Linked DNA regions of Arabidopsis thaliana. The protein of the gene in region 3 interacts with the protein of the main gene of each other region in a biochemical or structural test. Each region holds a gene or a part of one and is shown on either strand. Other genes may lie near its edges.

The links.
Region 1: the proteins of HFR1 (region 3) and LAF1 form a complex in vitro, tested with the Arabidopsis thaliana proteins (one study listed by BioGRID).
Region 2: the proteins of HFR1 (region 3) and PIF4 form a complex in vitro, tested with the Arabidopsis thaliana proteins (one study listed by BioGRID).

The regions. Positions count from the first base shown.
Region 1 is NC_003075.7:13,050,838-13,054,310, forward strand, and holds LAF1 (myb domain protein 18), read left to right. Parts: upstream 1-1,665; 5' UTR 1,666-1,717; coding exon 1,718-1,844; intron 1,845-1,890; exon of another isoform or gene 1,891-1,931; coding exon 1,932-2,061; intron 2,062-2,141; coding exon 2,142-2,736; 3' UTR 2,737-2,905; downstream 2,906-3,473. Other genes in the region: AT4G25550 (Cleavage/polyadenylation specificity factor, 25kDa subunit), read left to right, coding at 1-36; ACYB-2 (Cytochrome b561/ferric reductase transmembrane protein family), read right to left, coding at 3,050-3,376. UniProt on the Arabidopsis thaliana protein: Transcription factor that promotes photomorphogenesis in the light by participating in the transmission of phytochrome A (phyA) signals to downstream responses. Probably acts by activating expression of light-induced genes.
Region 2 is NC_003071.7:17,885,071-17,889,655, reverse strand, and holds PIF4 (phytochrome interacting factor 4), read right to left. Parts: upstream 2,859-4,585; 5' UTR 2,780-2,858; coding exon 2,589-2,779; intron 2,499-2,588; coding exon 1,844-2,498; intron 1,752-1,843; coding exon 1,671-1,751; intron 1,543-1,670; coding exon 1,477-1,542; intron 1,397-1,476; coding exon 1,079-1,396; coding exon of another isoform or gene 1,049-1,078; exon of another isoform or gene 941-1,048; coding exon 833-940; 3' UTR 569-832; downstream 1-568. UniProt on the Arabidopsis thaliana protein: Transcription factor acting negatively in the phytochrome B signaling pathway. May regulate the expression of a subset of genes involved in cell expansion by binding to the G-box motif.
Region 3 is NC_003070.9:465,051-469,634, forward strand, and holds HFR1 (basic helix-loop-helix (bHLH) DNA-binding superfamily protein), read right to left. Parts: upstream 2,831-4,584; 5' UTR 2,636-2,830; coding exon 2,634-2,635; exon of another isoform or gene 2,503-2,633; coding exon 2,136-2,502; intron 2,037-2,135; coding exon 1,908-2,036; intron 1,748-1,907; coding exon 1,682-1,747; intron 1,198-1,681; coding exon 883-1,197; 3' UTR 566-882; downstream 1-565. UniProt on the Arabidopsis thaliana protein: Atypical bHLH transcription factor that regulates photomorphogenesis through modulation of phytochrome (e.g. PHYA) and cryptochrome signalings. Suppresses the transcriptional regulation activity of PIF4 by forming non-DNA-binding heterodimer.

The DNA.
Region 1 (3,473 bases), on a different chromosome or scaffold from region 3:
CTATCCAGATTCCATTTCAACATGATTAGTTCGTGATTTCGACTCGGTGTGTTCAAGAACAAGGAACCTATCAGATGGGTAAGTTACTTAGGTACGGTAGAGAGCTGTAGCTACCGGATTAGAGATGGGGTTTTCCAATGATGCGAGTTGGGTTTTTTGCATTATAGACTTGTTGGCTTTTATGTAGAACCGGTTCAAAGTGTCAGCACAAAAAACAAAGATTATTGTATCTCATTTTTAAAAGCATTTGTCATTGTTTGACTAACGCCTGTCTTCTCTAACCGTAAAACATGTGTTTCATTCAATGTTGAATGATGTTTTTATTTTGGTGCATAAAACTAAGCCATGTTTAACCTTCTTTGTCAACATATTTCATAAAGTTTTATCAACATACCACAAGGCCTAATGGTCGAAGGAGGAGAAGTTTTGTTGTAGACGAACAATCTAAAGTATCCTAGTTATCATAACATTAGATGTATAAAATTTATTCTCCGAGGGCTAAGGATTAAGTCATCATAACATTAGATGTATAAAATTTATTAGTCGTGTTTCATTGGGGATTAGTTTGACGGCAAATTATATTATGTTATCAAGACGACCAAGACAAGGTAGACACTTTTTTATTGTTTCCCTCTCAATTTTCTTTACTCGTCATTTTCCACAGGCCAAAAGAGCCAACAAGTAAAAAACAAAATCAGAGTATTTTTAAAATTGGGACAGGCCATTTCGATCGGGACAGAAGGAATTCAAATTGTTGAAATTCACAATATTCCTCAAATAACTCTTATTATTGGTCCACTTGTCAGTGTGAATGTAAGAAAAACATCGTGAGAGGAAAAAATATGAAATAATTACTAGCAGCAAATAGGAGCTCAATGTTGACTTCACTACAAAATTTTATAATTAAGAGAAAAAGAGCTCTCAAATCATATAATAATTATTTCAAGTACTTGTATTAGCAAATGCAATTTGTCTGCTTGCTAATGATGCTTTACGAAAAGATTAACAGATTGGATGATTCTCTATAATCATTACTTCATTATTCACAATCATTGGATTGAATCAGACAGATTATTCCACCCGGATGATCGTTTCTAACCAAAAAACTCATTGACGCGATTTAAACATAAATTAAAGAAGTCGTTAATATAAAATTCTTGCCGACATTTTAGAGATTTTTGGATATGAAGATGTTATCTGATTAGTGTGTAAATTCTTAAGGCATCGTCCATTATAAATGAAGTAAATATAAGGAAAACAAACAATAAGAAAACAAAGTGAAAGAACAAAAACAAGCAAAGATTCTTCTTTTTTTTTTTTTTTATAGGTAGGAATCTCAAATCTTATATATACTGAAAATTGCTAATTTATTTTAAGTTGGAACATTATATCAATAATTTAAATTTATCCAAGCAGACTTTTGACACCTAATTAATCCTTACATATTCCATTATGACTTTTCTCCTCACTGCTTATACAAATGCATACAGTATACTCATAAGAAATTAACACATAAATTATATCCCAAATTTTCATAAAAATAGAAATATATATGTCATTTGTCATTTACTCTAAGCAGGCCCATTTGGTCATTTCTTAACACCAAGTATGTAGGCTCTATCTGTGGACGTTTGGTGATATATATGTTGTCTCAATCACCATATATAGTATTGAGACATGTTTTCTTGTATCAGGACAGACAGCTGACTAAAGAGAAATGGCGAAGACGAAATATGGAGAGAGACATAGGAAAGGGTTATGGTCACCTGAAGAAGACGAGAAGCTAAGGAGCTTCATCCTCTCTTATGGCCATTCTTGCTGGACCACTGTTCCCATCAAAGCTGGTCTCTCTTTCATCTTCTTCTTTATTAGTTTTTAGTTTCTCAAACTGAGTCAACTTTGATAATTGTTGTTGGGATTTAATTTGATAGGGTTACAAAGGAATGGGAAGAGCTGCAGATTAAGATGGATTAATTACCTAAGACCAGGGTTAAAGAGGGATATGATTAGTGCAGAAGAAGAAGAGACTATCTTGACGTTTCATTCTTCCTTGGGTAACAAGTAAGTGTATCTCTAAGACCTAACCCTATTGTTTTAGCAGATGCTAGTTATAGAGAGACTAATGATTTAGGTGTAATTAGGTGGTCGCAAATAGCTAAATTCTTACCGGGAAGAACAGACAATGAGATAAAGAACTATTGGCACTCTCATTTGAAAAAGAAATGGCTCAAGTCTCAGAGCTTACAAGATGCAAAATCTATTTCCCCTCCTTCGTCTTCATCATCATCACTTGTTGCTTGTGGAAAAAGAAATCCGGAAACCTTGATCTCGAATCACGTGTTCTCCTTCCAGAGACTTCTAGAGAACAAATCTTCATCTCCCTCACAAGAAAGCAACGGAAATAACAGCCATCAATGTTCTTCTGCTCCTGAGATTCCAAGGCTTTTCTTCTCTGAATGGCTTTCTTCTTCATATCCCCACACCGATTATTCCTCTGAGTTTACCGACTCTAAGCACAGTCAAGCTCCAAATGTCGAAGAGACTCTCTCAGCTTATGAAGAAATGGGTGATGTTGATCAGTTCCATTACAACGAAATGATGATCAACAACAGCAACTGGACTCTTAACGACATTGTGTTTGGTTCCAAATGTAAGAAGCAGGAGCATCATATTTATAGAGAGGCTTCAGATTGTAATTCTTCTGCTGAATTCTTTTCTCCATCAACAACGACGTAAATTGCGTTTATTGTAATGTAAATCAAATTTCTAAGGCAAAACCGGAAAAAAAATGTTTTGTTTTTTGTTTTGTCTTAAATGCTTTGACACCAATAAGGCAAATAGCATATATGGTTAAAGGAATGGCAATATGAAAGAAAAGAAAAGAAAAGAAAATGATTTAAAAGATTCATCAATATCATTGAAGATTTTACACACCAGAAGTAGCAAAGCCGTAACACACAAAGCTTTTCGCTACAAATGCATCATACATAAATGGAGTTTTGAGAGTACAAGGGGCGATACAGATGTAACGTGGAATGTAGAAAGTGTTTTATATAGCAGAATAACTGAAGTCAACACTATCATCATTGGAGACGGAAGGAGAAGGAGAAGGAGACTCAGCAGAAGCAGTGAGTACCACAAAGGCACCAAAGAGAATAGTGATAATGGCCGTGAAGTTGATAAGAAATGCTTCGGATCCATACTTGTCAAGCCCTCCATTCTCCAAGAAAGTCAGCTTTTCCAGAAACCCTAAAGCTGCATTCCCGACAGCAAGTATGTAAACAAACAGGCCAAGCATTGCGTGCCACGGAAGCAATCCGCTTTTCAAATTTGTTGATCCTCCTGGGAAGAAGAACACTATGAAGCTGTACACCCACTGTAAAGTTCAAAACTCTTGTTCTGGTCAGGAACAATATACAACAATAGGTAAAAACATTTTTCCATAGAAATTGATCAACTTGTTAGCCATTTTC
Region 2 (4,585 bases), on a different chromosome or scaffold from region 3:
GAATGTATGTATCCAACCTTTGATCGGTTCAACTTTTACTATTGTTAAGTGTTTTCGATCGACTATTTCAAACTTTGGAATAAATTTATATATGAAAACAGTATGCAAAAATATCTAAGATATTTAACTCAATTATTGCTAAATAGATTCTGACCAGTATGCACATGGCTTAAAGACTTATAATGTCGATGTTTTTGACAATTGACACATGACTCTCACTCAAATCTGGCTCCATCACATGTGATTTGGCTTTTTCCATCTATACATAATTTTAGACAATCAGCAAGAAAAGCTTATGTTATGATTTTTTATTTATTTATGGAACAATATGAAATCATAAGATATTAATATTTTACCAAACTCTAGCCAGACGGTTGATCATCTGTGTTTTTCTTAAAGTTTTTTTTTGTGTTTCTTATTTTTTGAATATGAACATATGATTTCTTATTAGGGGAACAGAGAAAAATTGAATGGACTTTTAGATACATCTTCAAAATTAGGTGTGATCTATAATCTATAAGTGTCATCTAGTTCTATTTTCGAAAAAAATTTCGATTACTTAGATATATCCTTGTTTTGATTAGAAAATAAACTGCATCCCAAAGTTTTTACGATTACAAAAATCACATGTCCTGTTTTTAAGATGTTGTTTACAAAAAATCTCATCATGTCATTTTGACATACATAAACTCACATATACAGAAAATAACGTAATGAAGTTGCACGTTTACTCTATAATAATACATCCTTGAACGTTTTAAGTATGTTCAGAAAGATAGATATAAAAAAGAAACATACCAAAAATAAGGAAGTAAAAAAGTGGCTCACCAACCTAGTGGTCCAAACGAGAACCGTCGGTGGTCTTCGTCGGCACAGACGACGGTTGTTGACTTTGCTGTCCCGCCGGTGAACTAAATCTCAACATCTCCATCGGCTGCATCTAATAAAAAACCACACAACGTGTCAACTAAAACTACGTCGGTTTAACATTTTTTCTTATCTCGTATTAATGTAGTAAACCCAAAAAACATTTTACCAAAATCGTCGTTTAATAAACACGGCTTCGTATTGGCCTTACCTGAGTCGCGGCCTGCATGTGTGGGAACCCACCGATGTATCTAGCAAACCGGTCGGAGATGATCTGGTTTTGTACCGGGTTTTGGCAAACTAAACCGGGATTGTTCTGAATTGCAGACTGATCCATAACCGGAAATCGAGGTAACTGTACCGGGCTCTGTATCTGACGTATGAACTGCTGAGGTTGAACTCCGGGGAACATCATCGGAGCCGAAGCCGCCGCCGCCGCCATTCCACTCCCCATCCACATCACTTGAAGCTGTAACTGAAGTGATTTCAAATAATCTATGGCTTCGTCTAAAATCGAAGCTTTATCAGTCTGCAAAAACACACCAATGAATGAATCAATCTTCATTTCTTAATCTGATTCACTTTTAGATTTGATTTGTATCAACTCACTTTACTGCAGTGAGGTATTAGTTCTTGCAAAGCCTTCATTCTCTCATTGATCCTATCTCTCCTCCTCTATTTAAGTTATGAAAAGAAGAAAATAAAAAACAGAGTTTTGTATCTGTTTTCTTTGTATAAATGTTATACGATTCTCTAACATTAAACTATATATTATATATTATATAGACGAACCGATGAAGTACCCTTTCGGAGAGATTATGAACTTCAGCTGCTCGACTCCTTCGGTTTGATCCTGATCGTTGGTTCGACTTGTTACCGATTGCCTGCAAAATGTATTATGTATTACTCTCTGAGATAGACCAAGATTACGTTTTCAAGAAGTAATTATCATGAGTTAGAATTAAAGGAAGCATACATCTGATAGAGATACAGATTCGTCAGTGTGATTTATACGTTTTCTCTTACGGTCGGTTGTGATGCATCTTCCACTAGCCATTTCTTTGATATCTTTGCCAAAGCTGCAACCAGAGGAGCCACCTGATGAGGAACTTGCGTTCGGATTAAGCTTTTCTTCTATGTTTTTGCTTCGATCATGACTCATTGAGACATCGAGATCGTTCTGTGATGGGTTGCTTCCGCAATGGCTAGGTCCAACGGTCGTTACCGAGTACTGTTCCATTTCTGTTTCCCTAATCCCCGATGATGAATTTGTTAACCTAAATTTTGGAGGAGGCATGACTTGAGGAGGAGGGTCAGGACAGGCCTTAGGCTTAACCATGACTTGAGGAGGTTCAGGACTGGACTTAGGCTTAACCGTCTCTGAGGTTGGTCTCTGGAGGGGATCCATGGTTGAGAAGAAGTGGGAGGAGAAGTCGTCGGGTTCGAATGGGTCTTCATCTGGAGGGTATTGGATCCAAGAGACAGTTTCTTGATCTTCAAGAAAGGTGCTGGATCTTAGGGCTTCTTCATGATGATCTTGTTTCTGGGTTTGGGTTTGTTCTCTATGAGTTTGGCTCTGCAGAACCACTTGTCCATCTCGCCATAATAACTCCACTAGTTCATCTTGTGGCCTAGACATCAATACACACACACACAGACTATATTATAAAGTTTTTTTTTTAATGAATGAAAACATTAGATCAAAGATTATTAAATAATACCTGATAGATCTTCTATTAGTGGACAAACTATAATTCTCCTCAAAACTCCAACCTTGGTGTTCCATGTCAGATCTCTGGAGACATTTCAAAATAAAAAGAAAAAAAAGTTTTATTAACCTCAGAATATATTTTATAGCACTAGTGAACAGAGCTAATGATAACTTATGATTAAGAGATACAAGGAGGAGCATATATAAAATCGAATTTTATAATTCAGAGTCCTAATAGTTTATTTACTCTAATCATTATAGAATGATTTTAAAATAATTAAAATTTAAAGCAAGTCCATGAGTCCGTTCTCTTGTTAAACATCTTTTTTTATATTCTGGCAATCTAGGAAAGCTTGCAAAATAGTTATTTCCAAATATAGCCACATCTTATAAAACCAAAAACCCGTATAAAAAGAGTACTACTGACCAGATTAGGAAAGCTTCTGGACGAATCAGAAGTTGAAAGAGAAGATCTATATAACCTGATATGTGGAACTAGTCCAAGTTCCACGCCCAACACAACTCTCTATCTCTCTCCTCTCACTCTAAGAGACCAGAAAATTGTTGAGAAACAACTCACAAAACATGAAAGAAACAGAGAAGAAGAAGATGAGAGAGGTTCATTACTTCTTTTGGGTACAGACAGAAAGTGACAGGAGCATAAAGATATTACAGCGAGGGAGATAATGATTCTCTAGGGACAACAGTACTGCAATCTTTTGAAATGAACGACACGTGGCAAGTTCTGGGACATTGTGTTGGAATCAGTGGGACACATACAAGTGAAGATCTCTCTCTTCTTTTAAGCGATGAGATCTATTGCTTGATTTTTAGAGGTGGTTTCTTATCTGTACCTTATCTAAAAAAACTCTGAAAACAATGATTTGAGGGTGTTTTTGTCAAATCACAATCATCTATAGCGTTATGGTTTTTGTCGATACCTTTCTCATATATACCAAAATTATCTTTAACTTGACGTTTTATTCTTCAAGTCTTTTGCTATACGTCAAATTTAATTACGTGTTTGTTTGTTATCTACGATGTATATAAAAGATGATTTATTATCCGAGTTCAATGCTCTCAACGAGTTTATAATTGTTCATATCATCGTTTTTGGCGTTTATCACGTTGCATTGAAAGGGCACCCTTGGCTTAATAAGAAATACAAAAGAATTTCACACAACATACTACTACAGTTAGTTTCTGATAACCTTAATCTTTTTACTACTCACCTAATAATGTTTTTTTTGGTTGTAAATTGGAAAAAGATCTAGTATGTTCTTCGATGATTCATTTCGTTTTAAATAGGCAATTAATTCTGTTGTCGTAATAACAATTATTAGTGGACCATTGTGCCTACTTGTAATGGACCATATCCCATACCGCGTCTCGGTTTGTATTTCTAAAATCATCACATTAAAATAATATACTTCATGCTAAGTTTTCCTGAAATGTATATCATTAATTTCTATAAATTCCACATGAAGATTATTATTTTTTTAATTATTCTCTAGCAATGTGGTTTTAAAATATAATTTTGACCATACGGATTTCAAATTTTCATAGATTGAAATTGTGATAGCCAAATACAGGACGCGGAATGAACGGATCAACAGAACAATGACAACCAAACTGCAACTGCATTTTATTAAAAATTTAGGTGACAAAAACATAAAACATTAATTTTCATACTATAGTCTTCAATTATGTGTACCAGGTAATTGGAGTGGTACGCCCGCTCGAATGCTTCGGCCCCAAATGTGTTTGGGAAACATTCACACGAATGGTTTATTTTTGTGTGTCGAATAAATATTTAAGTGAAGTAGTATAGTAATAGTACAATATTACTTTTTAATTAATAAGACAGTCTAACTAATTTAGCCTTTTTATATTGTTGTCAGTCAATCATACCTATACTCTGTCGTGTACTGAAAATTCGTGATGGTGTTACGGTGTATGTAATTACTGATTAGTAAGATATTACTTTGCTGAAAAACATAAATTGTT
Region 3 (4,584 bases):
CATAGCTAATTAGTAGGTAAAACTATGCCTTTCTGACATTGTTTTTCACTAAAGCCAAGCCTTATTGAGACAAAAGGATATGTATTTGTAAAATAATACGTATATAAGTGTGCGCCTGTGTCTGTGCGTGTAGAATTTTTCTTTTTTTATATATAAATATGAATTGTGTCTCGAGTTTCGGACGTAATATTTCTTGTGTGTGTATTTACCTAGCTCAGAAAACAAAAGAAAAGAGATTATTACTCACAAGTCACAACTTTAAAACAGAAAACATTTTGAATTTTCCACAAAAAAATGAATATATCAACTGTGGAAAAGCGATGTGTAAACACAAAACGCAAATCAATAATTGATGTGTAAGAAAGTGATTAATAATTCTCGAAGTCAAGTTTCCTCATTTCTTCTTTTGATCTTTTCTCATACATCCGGCCCTATATTTGGCAGAGCCACATCCTAACTTCTAAGTAACATGCAGTGTGCAGAGGTAAGTTAATGTTACTTTTTGTACATTAACATTATCATAGTGTATGACCCACTGGTCCTGAATTTGAGATGCTGAAGATAAAGCTAGTTGGGATGCATGTAACCAAGTGTAAACGTTTGAGACGCTTAAGAATCAGGGAAATCTTGTTCCTACGTTCAATGCTCTTATAAGCATGTCTCAATATATTTTACAAAATATCAGATAAATGAAAAAATTGTTACATGCAAGAATTTATACAAAAAGTTTTAACTTATTGATTATTATTAATATACAAAACCACCCGGAAAAAAAAGTATATGACACAAATGGTTCACACAAACTGTCCTAATTTGGAACTCTTTTCTCTCTTAATTAGTCAACGATCATTTCACATAAACTTTTATCGAGCTACTTACTTATCATAGTCTTCTCATCGCATGGGAAGAAAAATCCAAGAAACTTGGGAAATAAGGAACCAAACCGTGAAGAGACTGAGGAGAAGAAGCTGGTGATGATGTTGTAAGAAATAGAGATTGACTAGATGAATGTGGGAATGAAATATTAGTAAACGGTGGTAATGGCCAATTTAACGCCGGAATTAGCGGCGATGGCATCATGTGATTCGCCGGATTTAGGCCGTGAGCCGAAGCCATTGCCGTCAGCATGTGGTTGTGCATTCCAAATCCTAATGTCGCCGGAAGAAAATAAGGATTCACCCCCACTGTTGACATCATCTGCAATTATAACATCAACTTTGATTACAACTTAGTTTCTGAATATAAATAGCACATATACATATTCGAATGATCAAAATGGGTACATAGTTCTATAAAATATAAAACATTTAGTTGGCACTAAATAATCACATGAAAAGAGATGAATTCGAAATATTAAAGAAATTCTATAGACTTCACCATCTAGGTTATCTACTGCCTACTATATATCATTCCATTTTTTTCGTCACTAAACACCAAAAAGTGGCTATATTTGTTTGATCAATTTGAAACCCATATTGTAAAACAATAATCCATATCTCATAAGTTGGCGAGTCAGATCGAATACCAAGAACAGTTTATGTCAACTAGTTAAATTAACCAAAAAAAAACTCAGACTATTAGATAAACACTTAAAACCTCAAGCCTCAATAATTCAAATATATGGAAGAAGAACACTGAATAAAGTGTGAAATAAAAATAGTGAATAAAGTTAAATATAGACCTGAAGTTGAAGTTGAAGGTTTTTCATATACTCTATGGTCTTGTCGAGAACCGAAACCTTGTCCGTCTGAAAACCGTAAAAAAGCACCACCCGTTATCAGAATTGGAAACTTAAGGCAAGATTTCTTCATATATGCAACGGAAGTAGCGGAAACTTATACGGAAAAGACTAGACACTCAATAGTTAAATTGAAACATTATATAGAAGGATCTATATACACACCAACCTTGTGACAATTAGGTACGAGTTGCTGTAGCTTACGCATCTTATTACTCATCTTCTCGTCTCTTCTTCTTCTCTTGGAACCTTTTCGAGTAACTGAAGGAACTTCTCTTGTAAACTCCTCCGATTCATCCTAAATTAATTAATTTTATTTATAGAAAGAAAAAATTAAAAACAGTGAAAAATGATAATACATAAGGTAACATGAAAATATATCTATGTATCGACTTACATCACTACTTAAGACCTGGATACGACGTTTTTTGGGGTTCTCATGTTTGTTTCTCAGATAAAATCGATGATCTGATCTCTCTGAAAAATCTTTAATATGATGATGATCATCAGTTTCAGAATGTTCATCAGGGACAACAACCAATAAATCCTCCTTCGCATTTTCTACTTCTTTATGAATCTCTGGAACAATCTGAAGATAATTATCAGTTTGATCATGATCAAAGTAGCCGTAGCCCCATTTTAGACCGTTGATTAGACGATCTTCATCACTTCTTGCTCTTTCTGACATCATGCCCTGATCTTTCACAGCAAGTGATCCGACGTCGTTTCTCCATCCCAATTCCATGAAAGCTTGATTATTCGACCTGCCAAGAAAAAAGTAGTAAACTATTAGGGTTTACGATACAAATCATTGATAAATTATTAAAGAAATAAATAAAGAGAATAACAAGGCAAGAAACCTAAACTCTGAAACCTCCTGTTTAATTATACTTACATGTTAGTTAAAGAGATATCGGAGATGAAAAGTTTGGAGAAGTGTTTTTTCTTTAGGGATTTCAGCTTTGTCCGAGAAAATGGTATCCCATACGCTTATGTTATAAGAGCGATCGGATCAGATAGATGGTATAGTTGTCAGCTACATTGGTGACCCACTTATATTGTGCCACGTTTCAAAGTATGTGTGGTTCGTTTGTTGCGTACACCGACAACAATAAAACAATTCGGCTAGATTCTAACATACAGCTACACGAGGTTATTATAGACATATTGATGTCATTTGAGTTCTTTGGAAACAATACTTTTTTGGATTCACAACAAACATTGTAATGAAAATATTGTTTTACTAAAATAATTAATACAGTAATTAAATTAGTTTTTATTTTGGAAAAGTATTGTCAAATAATTCCATTATCACAAATTCACAATGTACTTAAATGGATTATTATTCTGCTTATTGTTTTTATGATTCTATACGTAATTGTCCCAAAACTACGTCATAGTAGCATATATCGACTTTAGAGTAATCTTGAAATTTTGCACAGAAAGATAAAAGTAATCTTGATTAATCAATAACGTCACTAGATTCACTACCACTTTGACACATGAACATAGAGATAAATTTATCTTTGTACGTATAGAATGTATTCATTTATATATTGAGATTTGAGAGACAGTTTAATAGTATTTCTTAACCAAGAACTGTAATGCACAACGGGTAGGGCCATTTTTATCCGTTTAATTATTTTTCCCGTAATCTTATCGTTTATCATTGAATACTCGTCATTAAGCTTTATCTTTATATATATATAAAACAATGTAAAATATCGGATGTCTATTTGTTTATTTTTGGTCAGATCATCTCTAAATATAAAAACAAAAAGATGACGTCTCCGTTTGGAAAAAAAAAGGTTGACTACCACAAGTTTCATAATATAATCGACAAAAAAATATCGTCTGTAACAACGATAAGATTATTCGATCTCCCAATTGGTAAATTCGTTATTATGAAAGGCTTACAAAATTCAGTAACCAGCAATCATAATAATTTCAGAGTTATGATACTAGAGTTCACTTTTTTGTGCAATAATATAATGGTCGATTATTTCCAGCCTGAGAATGCATTTCATTTCATGACCATTTATGGATTCCTGAAAAAAGAATTCATTTAGGGTTTTATCCAAAATCCCACGTGGGTTGTGGGCTCTAAACCAATCCTATAACGAATCAGTTTTTTTTGTTTTCTGTAACCCCACGACACATTTATTGGAATTTTAGAGTCACGTCATCATCAACCATACACCGAGCAGGTGCGATGGTCCACATTATTACTATCTTTGATAAAAAAGGTCCACACTATTTTCCTTAATTAAAAAAAACTCCAATAATTACAACATATTCTGAATAAACAAAAATGACCTGGTTACTAAATATCAACAATCAAAAAAAAAAAAAAACAGTATCAAATTCTAATTTCGAATTAGTAGAACAAAAATACTAATTATTATTATTCAATTGACTAATGAATGTTAACTTTGTAGCGTTGAATCAAATGGGCCTGAAAAAAATCGAAAAAGAGAGAGAGAGAGGAAGAAGAAAAGGCGTGTTCACGTGATGCCCTCGTGATGGACATGGTGCTATGTCTGACACTTGGGTACTTTATATTTTGTTGGTGTCTTAGCGAGCGACGAAGCAAAACCACAGCCACTACATAGGTTTCCAATCTCCTTCACGACAACGACCTCTCGGAATATACGTTCCAATCTACAACTTCCCACTGTTCAATCTATTTGATATTATGGAAAAACTTTGCATTATTGATTCTTATTTTAATATTTTTCTCTTGTTCCCACCGTTTTGGTTGGAATCATATACTATACGAAGTACTATTTGTGTATCTAGTGGTTGATTGACGATTTTTATTTTTGTTGTACATTAAATGCAGCATC